Oryza sativa Japonica Group: one gene and its partner. The protein of the gene in region 2 interacts with the protein of the main gene of each other region in a pairwise test. Links are inferred from orthologs where the notes say so. Each region holds a gene or a part of one and is shown on either strand. Other genes may lie near its edges.

Region 1 (4,482 bases), on a different chromosome or scaffold from region 2:
TGGACGCGCTGTGTGTGTTGGGATGACAGGATGAAAGGAGAATGATTCTGTTTTTAGGACAGTAGAGATATCCTGCAATAGTGAAAGATGCACAAACTTTTATCTGGAGGTCCTCAACTATGGAAGGATCCACATGAGCTTAGCTGTTTAGCCAAATCTCTGCTGATTCATATGCACCATTTCTGTACACACGCAGCACAGTAGCAAAGGTGCCGTGCAAAGTGTCCAAAATATAATCACCACCTGATATGTGTGCCCGCCGACTCGCATTGATCACTTGCCGACCCAGCTTTCTTTAGAACCAAGCAAGCAACACAAGGGGTCGCGAGAACGAACAAAAAGTGAAAAAAAAAAAAGAAAAGAAGCTCATCACTACTCGCAGAGAGAAGCAACAATGGGATTACTGAGTACTGACATGGATTAGCCGTGTCTCCCCAAAGAGAAAAAAAGTTAGACGAGGTTAATCAAGTGGCCATCGATCACCACGGTCTCTCTCTTTCTCTCGCTCAGCGATGATGCTCTTGGTCCGGACCAAAATACAGCAGCAGCAGCAGCAGTACAAAGCTCTGACGCTCGGGTCCCACATCCGTCAGACCATCCGTCCGTCCGTCCAAGATTCAGGAGACGAAGCCCATCCGTTGGATGGACCAAAAGATGCCGCGGTCGATGCATATGTAAGGATGCAGATGCAGGCAGCATGCTGTCGTCGACCGACCCGATCGATCGATCGATCTGTCTCTACTGCAGCACGACATCGCCGTCTCACAGGGCACTGGAAATGATGGGTCGCCTGCCTGACCTCTCTACACAAATCTTAAGCCTAGAGACAGACACTGATATAATAATAAATAGAGATTGACCGGGATTTTGGTGCTGTTTGTTAATGGTGACCATCCGACAAAATGCTCTATCACCGTCCTCTGCGTCCTCGCTCTGCACCGACTGATTCACCACACTTCACGTTCCACCTCACCGGAGGGTAAATACAGCAATCACCGTTCCACACATTTCGTACAATTTTGCTTGTACAAAAGCTGATCAATTTCGTGCTCAAATTAATAGTACAAACCCAGCCGAAAAGCGCTCACAAAGCCAAACAAACACTCAATGTAGCAGCAGCAGCAGCAGCAATCAGCATGAGTGCCCACCATTGCTTTTTTTTTTTTTTGGTGCCGTCTTCTCCGTGTTGTTCGTGGCACAACAGGACATGATCGATCGGTCAAAGGGTGAGGGGAGAACGAGACGACGGTGCATAAAAATCAAATGGAATGGAAGCGAGAAGGGAGAGAGGAGAGGAGCATGCATGCATCGTTACTCCAGTACGCTGCGTACAGCGGCCGGCCGCGCCACGATCTCGCTGTCTGCTGCTGCTGCTTCCAACTGCTCTCTGCTCTGCTCTGCTTCTGCTCCTCTCTTCCTCTCTAAAAAGCGTCGCCCCAACCAACCTGCCCCGTCCTAGCTAAAGCCATAGCAGTAGGCGGGCTACGCATCATCTCCCGATTTGGCAACACCCATATTGCTGCAGTGCAGTTGCAGTTGTTGCGGTTGCAGTGCAAGAGGGAGAAGAGGAGTTTCTTGGTGAGGGAGAGGGAGAGATGAGGGACGTGGTGGTGGCGGTTGGCGGCGGGACGAAGGCGGCGAGCAGGCAGCAGGGGCAGGGCGGGGTGACGTTGGCGGCGGCGGCGGCGGGGTCGGGGTCGGGGTCGGCGGCGTCGCCATGCGCGGCGTGCAAGCTGCTGCGGCGGCGGTGCGCGGCGGGGTGCGTGTTCGCGCCCTACTTCCCGCCGGGCGAGCCGCACAAGTTCGCCAACGTCCACAAGGTCTTCGGCGCCAGCAATGTCAGCAAGCTCCTCCAGGTATACCGCACGATCGCTGCTTCTTCTCTCAATCTATCGTCTTCTCTCCCTAGCTGCCATGCCATGACATGCCTTGCCTTGCCTCCTCGTGTCGTGTGTACGCACGTCTCACGAGCCCTCAATTCCCTCTGTTTCCGTCTACAATCTCTGTACCGCCTTCTTTCTCTGTATCATCGCGCTCATGCACACACAGACACAGTCGAGTTACTACCAGTTCTTGGATCTTTTTTTCCTTTTCAGTTCCGTGCCAATTCATTAGAAAGATGTGATGTTTCTTGCCATTGTTTAGCCCACAGTTTGTCAAATGTGTAGTAGTGCACAAAATTGATATCTTGTTTCGCCAGAAATGGATTGCTTATTTTTAACATATATGGTTAAGAAAGTTTCCCCGGGCCATAACGACGATGCTAGTACTAGGGATAATATTGGTTTAGTGGTTTCGTTTGATTACGGTGTTTTCCCAACATGTAGCCTGCAATTCTCAGGAAAAAAAAATTGAACGAAGGCCTGATAATCTCAGAATGATATACTGTATTAGATGGTGTAATAGTAGATTCTGAATACACCGAGATTTTGACAAATTCGGCAACTATATTTTCTGTTTACTAGCAGCCAGCCTAAATTCATTTCCTGGGTATGCCAAGTTCAGAATTGAACTTTCAGAATTTTGCACTTGTTCTTCAGTTTTCACCGTGAGTGGCACATGTACTGGGCATGTGCATCAAAATAAACATGGCAAAGATCCTACTTTCACTGCCCACTGGGTCCTCATCCATGCAGCAACCCAAAGCATTTCTTATGTGCTAAAGATCACCTAGCCAAAGAAAAGAAAAAGAAAAGATTGCTTTTTTTTTTGTGAGCAAGTTCGAGTACTGCAGTGTGTTGTAGTACTAATTAAATCGACAGAGACCTCAGCATAGTGATCTCCAAACTGAACCCTCCCCCATGTGTCGAGCCGCCTGAAACAGTAGCCCATCAGTGGTGGTATACGGCCTCGTCCTCACAGTCTCAGCAGCCTTGGGCAGTCACCTTCACACAAGGCTCGCACATGCTGCGTAAAAAGAAAAAGAAAAAAAGCTTTCGGCTGCACCAAACATGCAAAAATGTCCCTAAAAATCCTTCCTTCCATTCCCTTTTCTTGGAACCAGAGAGACACCCCCAAATCGCCACCATCTTTTCTCAATTTCTTCTCCTTGGCCCTAGCCTCCTAGTAGCCTTGTCACAATGTCACTGGCTCACTGTGTGTGTGCTTGCACGATTGTCAGGTGGGAATGGACGTTTCTTCTACCTTGTCATGTACTGGTGCCTGCACAAAACCAGATCATTCAGATGTGACTTGACTGAAACTCTGCTGCTATGACAATCATATGTCTGAAACTTTGGGATTGTGGTGGAATGCAGGAGATACCGGTGCAGCACAGGGGGGACGCCGTGAGCAGCCTGGTGTACGAGGCGAACGCGCGGGTGAGGGACCCGATCTACGGCTGCGTCGGCGCCATCTCGTCGCTGCAGCAGCAGGTGGAGGCGCTGCAGGCGCAGCTGGCGCTGGCGCAGGCGGAGATGGTCAGGCTGAGGATGAGCAACGACTACATCGGCCGCCGCCTCCGGGCGCGCGGCTGCGGCGGCGGCGGCGGAGGCGGAGGCGGGAGCACCACCACCACCACCGGCTCGCCGTCGTCCATGTCGTCGCCGGCCAAGACGGCGGAGCCGGAGCCGCTCTGCAAGCCCACGCCGGAGCTGGACATGGTGGTGGACCAGCCGGACTTCGGCTTCTGGTCCTACTAGGGCTTTGATCAAGGTAGTACTACTAGCTGATTGTAGCTGTGATGATGATCAGGTGATGTTTTTGGAGTTAAGTGACAGATGGTATGGTATGGTATGGTATAGTAGTAGTTCATAGTAGAGTCAAGCGAGTAAAGTATATGGCAATGTGTGCGCAGTAGCAGCGTGACACTGGGAGGGAGGTGAACATAGGCAGAGAGGCCTCCTCCTAAACCTTCTTCTACTGGGATATATCAGGGGCTTTTTTTTTGGCTGTCCTTCTATGAGAAGGTAGAACACTGTTACAGACATTGGGTGTGCATTCACTGAGTTGTGTTATCCATTGCAAGAAACTTTGTTGCTCGTGACAATTTACTTGGTTGAAATAGCTGAACTATGCTGTGGGAAATGCAGATGGTGCTATCTATGTTTGTACAAATGTTCTTTGATTCTGGGCTTGTTTTATGACATGTGACCCATTAGCAGAGATGTAAAATGCTTTAGTTTGATTAAGTAGATATCAGACTAATATTGCAACTTAAGGTTGCCATGAGGCTTAAATACTTTCACGATTGTATCTGCAATTTTACAAGGCTGGCTCCCATGGATACTATGGGCAATGAATTGCTACCCATTTTTTACAAATACATAAATAAAACAGACACCCTGATGTCGGACAGACCCCATCACTTCATAACCTAATGCAGGTTCATATGACCCAAAAATTGCAGCTGCATATTGGACGCCACACCTTTAGATGCAATAAGTTAATCCAATCGAATAACTTCACATTATCTGCAGTTCTTACAAGAAGTTAGCATAATTTGTCATGATAAAAATTTCTCAGCATATGAATCATGGATGG
Region 2 (3,080 bases):
TTTTTATCATAAGTTATTTTACAATATCTAATTTAAAATCTAAGGACACATGGAGTAGTTAATAAGCTGTGCGCATAACTACAGAAGCATAATCGAACGTGTGTACTAGTAATACTACAGGAAACGACAATCGAGACAGGGTGGACTCGCGAGCCATTTTGTGATGGGACTTTTAAGCAGATGGTCAAGTCAGTGAGGCCGGGAGCTCGGGACGCCGGGTGTGCCATTCATCTCGAGTTGAATGTCTTTTTACAAACCCTAGTTTAGAGTTTAAACAGTTAAGTAAATTAAGGCTGCATTGATATCAATTGATACTGTTAATTTTTTGAAACCCCATTGATACTGTTAATTTTCACTAACGGGGCTTGCATTGATAGCACTAGTAGTTTAGAGCGTTAAGTATATTTGATTTACTGATCAATATGTATAACTGAAATCTTTCTTATAATACCAGTACTAGTATTTTACATGAATTAAAATTTTGTAGTACTAGCTTTTGACCAACCAAATGTTCCGAACCAACCGCTCACTCGCCCCACAACCACCATCACCATGCAAGTTCTCAGGTCAGTAATAGTACTAACCTCGAGTGAGAAAACCGTCTTATACTACAGAAGAGATGAAAAGCTGTACGCTAAAAAGTTCTTAAAATGGAAACAAGAACAGGGGCAATGTGAGAACGCTAAACTTTCCTTAAATAGTAGTACGTATGTACACAGCCGGACCAGTGCTCTCCACTCCCACATTAATCGGTTACCCCTATCTACTAGTGATCTCTAAGCTTGATCCTTGGTCCTAGTACTACCCAGTGATGCTCTACTCACGTACGTGTCGAGATCACGAGCCGAACAGCAGCGCCGGCGGCGGCTCGTTGAGGTCGAACGGGAGCTCGCCGGCGCTCGGCCCCGTCCGGAGCTCCAGCGTCGTCGACGGCAGCGACGCGGCGACGTGCGCCGCGACATGGCCAGCCGCCGCCGGCGCCATCGCCTGCACCCTCGCCGGGAAGTAGACATAGTGCCACGGCGAAGGGTGGCTGATGTCGAGCCCGCCGAAGTGACCAGGGCCCTGCGGCGGCCGCGGCGGGTGCATGCGGTGGTGAAGCTGCGGCAGCTGGGCGTGGCTGTGGCCATGGCCGTGCCCGCCGACGCCACCACCACCGCTGCTGCCGCTGCCGAAGTTGGTCCGCGCCTTGACGCCGCGGAGCGCGACGGCGGCGCGGTCGTAGGCGAGCGCGGCCTCGACGGGCGTGTCGTAGGTGCCGAGCCACACCCGCGTCTTCTTCCACGGGTCCCGGATCTCCGCCGCGTACCGGCCCCACGGCCGCTTCCTCACCCCGCGGTAGTGCGCCTCCGCTCGCCCACCTCCCACTACTCCACCGCCTCCTCCCGCTCCCATGTCCAGCTCCATTCGCCTCCACGAGCGAGAGCCTGTGCTTGCGCTGTGCCTTGACGGACGGATCGGCAGCTGCCACTGCCAGCGACAAGCAAGTCTCAGCGACCCTTTATACGGGAGCCAAATCTATAGTGGCTCGCTACTACTACTAGCGCGCGGTGGCCGCTCGCTCTCGCGTCGGCTTTGCGTTTGCGCGCGCCTCGTGAAATGGGGAGATGGTGGTAGTACTAGTACTAGTAGGAGTAGGTGTCTGCCGCTCTGGGGCCTGCTGCGTTTTGGGGGGTTTGAGGCTGTCGCTGACCAGCGCGGCGCGGTGTCCGTCTCGGCCTCGGCCATCAAGCCCCAGCCGCCGCGCGATTTGACGCCCCGAATGGTCTAATCGCCGTGACGCCAGCCCTACCACCACCCCCAACGCCCTATCCGTCCTGCACGCCCTACCCCCCCTGCACACTGACCGCACGGGCCCTCCACCTCCTCCATACCTCTCCCCTGTCCGTTACGTCGTGTTGACGCGGCGGACTAGCCTACCAAGGGTGAAAGCGAGATACAGTACGGCCCAGGGGACGTGACCGGGCCCGTGACGAGTGCGTACGTACGTTTACTAGTACTCCTCCTACGTCCCGACGTGCCAGCGGCAGCAGGCGGATGGAAGGAAGGGAAGAAGGAAAGCAACCGCGGCGGAGGTAACGTGTGGGGTTGGCGTTTCGGCGTAGGGGGGGCGACGTGCCGTGGCACGATTCGGCCCCCGGGGTCGGGTTCACGTGGGCGAGGAGGTCCAGGAGCCGTGTCGTGGCGCGGGGGGCAGGCAGGCAGGCAGCACCGCGGTTTGCCGACGCGTGCGGCGCGGCGCCGCTCAACAGTAGCAGTCGCCGCGGCGCGCCCCGGTGGGTGGGTGGCCTATCCGGCACGGCGTTGTCCGCGCGCACGCCGTTCGGTGGGTGGGTAGCCAGCCGCTTGTCACGCTCCAAATTACTCCTCGTCCGGAGTAGATTCGCAGCGCCGCGGGCAGCAGTAGCTATCTCGCGCCTACCCGACGATGGATCGGCTCGACCCGTCCAAATCTCGTGGGGAATTGAATGTGGGAAAAAATACTTTGGGGAAGAGACGGGCATGGCATGGCCGCAGCTAGCTAGGCTGCCGCGGCAGGAGCAGCAGCAGCGGGAGGAAGGGAAGGGAGAGAAGGGGGGGGCCTTGGGAACGCGCGAGGCTTGACTGCCTTCTGCTGGGTGGGACAGCGGGAGGACCTGTCGAGCGCTGATGGTGCAGCGCAGCGAGCGGCGACGACCCCTGCCTTGGGAAGAGGCGTACCATTGATGAAAGGCCAAAGGCGTTGGCACAGTGCGTGCGTGTGTACTGTATAGGGTAGCCATGCCCATGCTGTTTTGGATGGACCGGCTAGACCGGTAGTACTGCTCCAGCCCGGCCGGCCGGCCGGCCGGCCTCTTTATTATTCCATGCATTTCTTTGTGATGCTCCCTGTCAGTGCAGCATTTTATTTTACCCTCGCCTTTTCAAATGAAGATAATGTTGCGGTGCTAGTAGACAGTTATAAATTGCACAGACAACTGAAAGATTTAATCATGCCAAAAAAAAAGCAAAAGATTTAACGAATGGAACGTGCAGAGCAAACATTACGGCTTCACCGAACTAATAACCCAGATTCACAGGACGCCTGGCCTAATCAATGT

Evidence for each region.
Region 1: the proteins of ethylene-responsive transcription factor 12 (region 2) and LOB domain-containing protein 4 interact in binary tests that used the Arabidopsis thaliana proteins (3 or more experiments, as listed by UniProt). The link is inferred for Oryza sativa Japonica Group from reciprocal best matches to the Arabidopsis thaliana genes ERF12 and LBD4.

Annotation. Positions count from the first base shown.
Region 1 is NC_089037.1:26,709,108-26,713,589, forward strand, and holds LOB domain-containing protein 4, read left to right. Parts: upstream 1-1,374; 5' UTR 1,375-1,595; coding exon 1,596-1,856; intron 1,857-3,257; coding exon 3,258-3,641; 3' UTR 3,642-4,026; downstream 4,027-4,482.
Region 2 is NC_089039.1:24,542,309-24,545,388, forward strand, and holds ethylene-responsive transcription factor 12, read right to left. Parts: upstream 1,476-3,080; 5' UTR 1,408-1,475; coding exon 838-1,407; 3' UTR 619-837; downstream 1-618.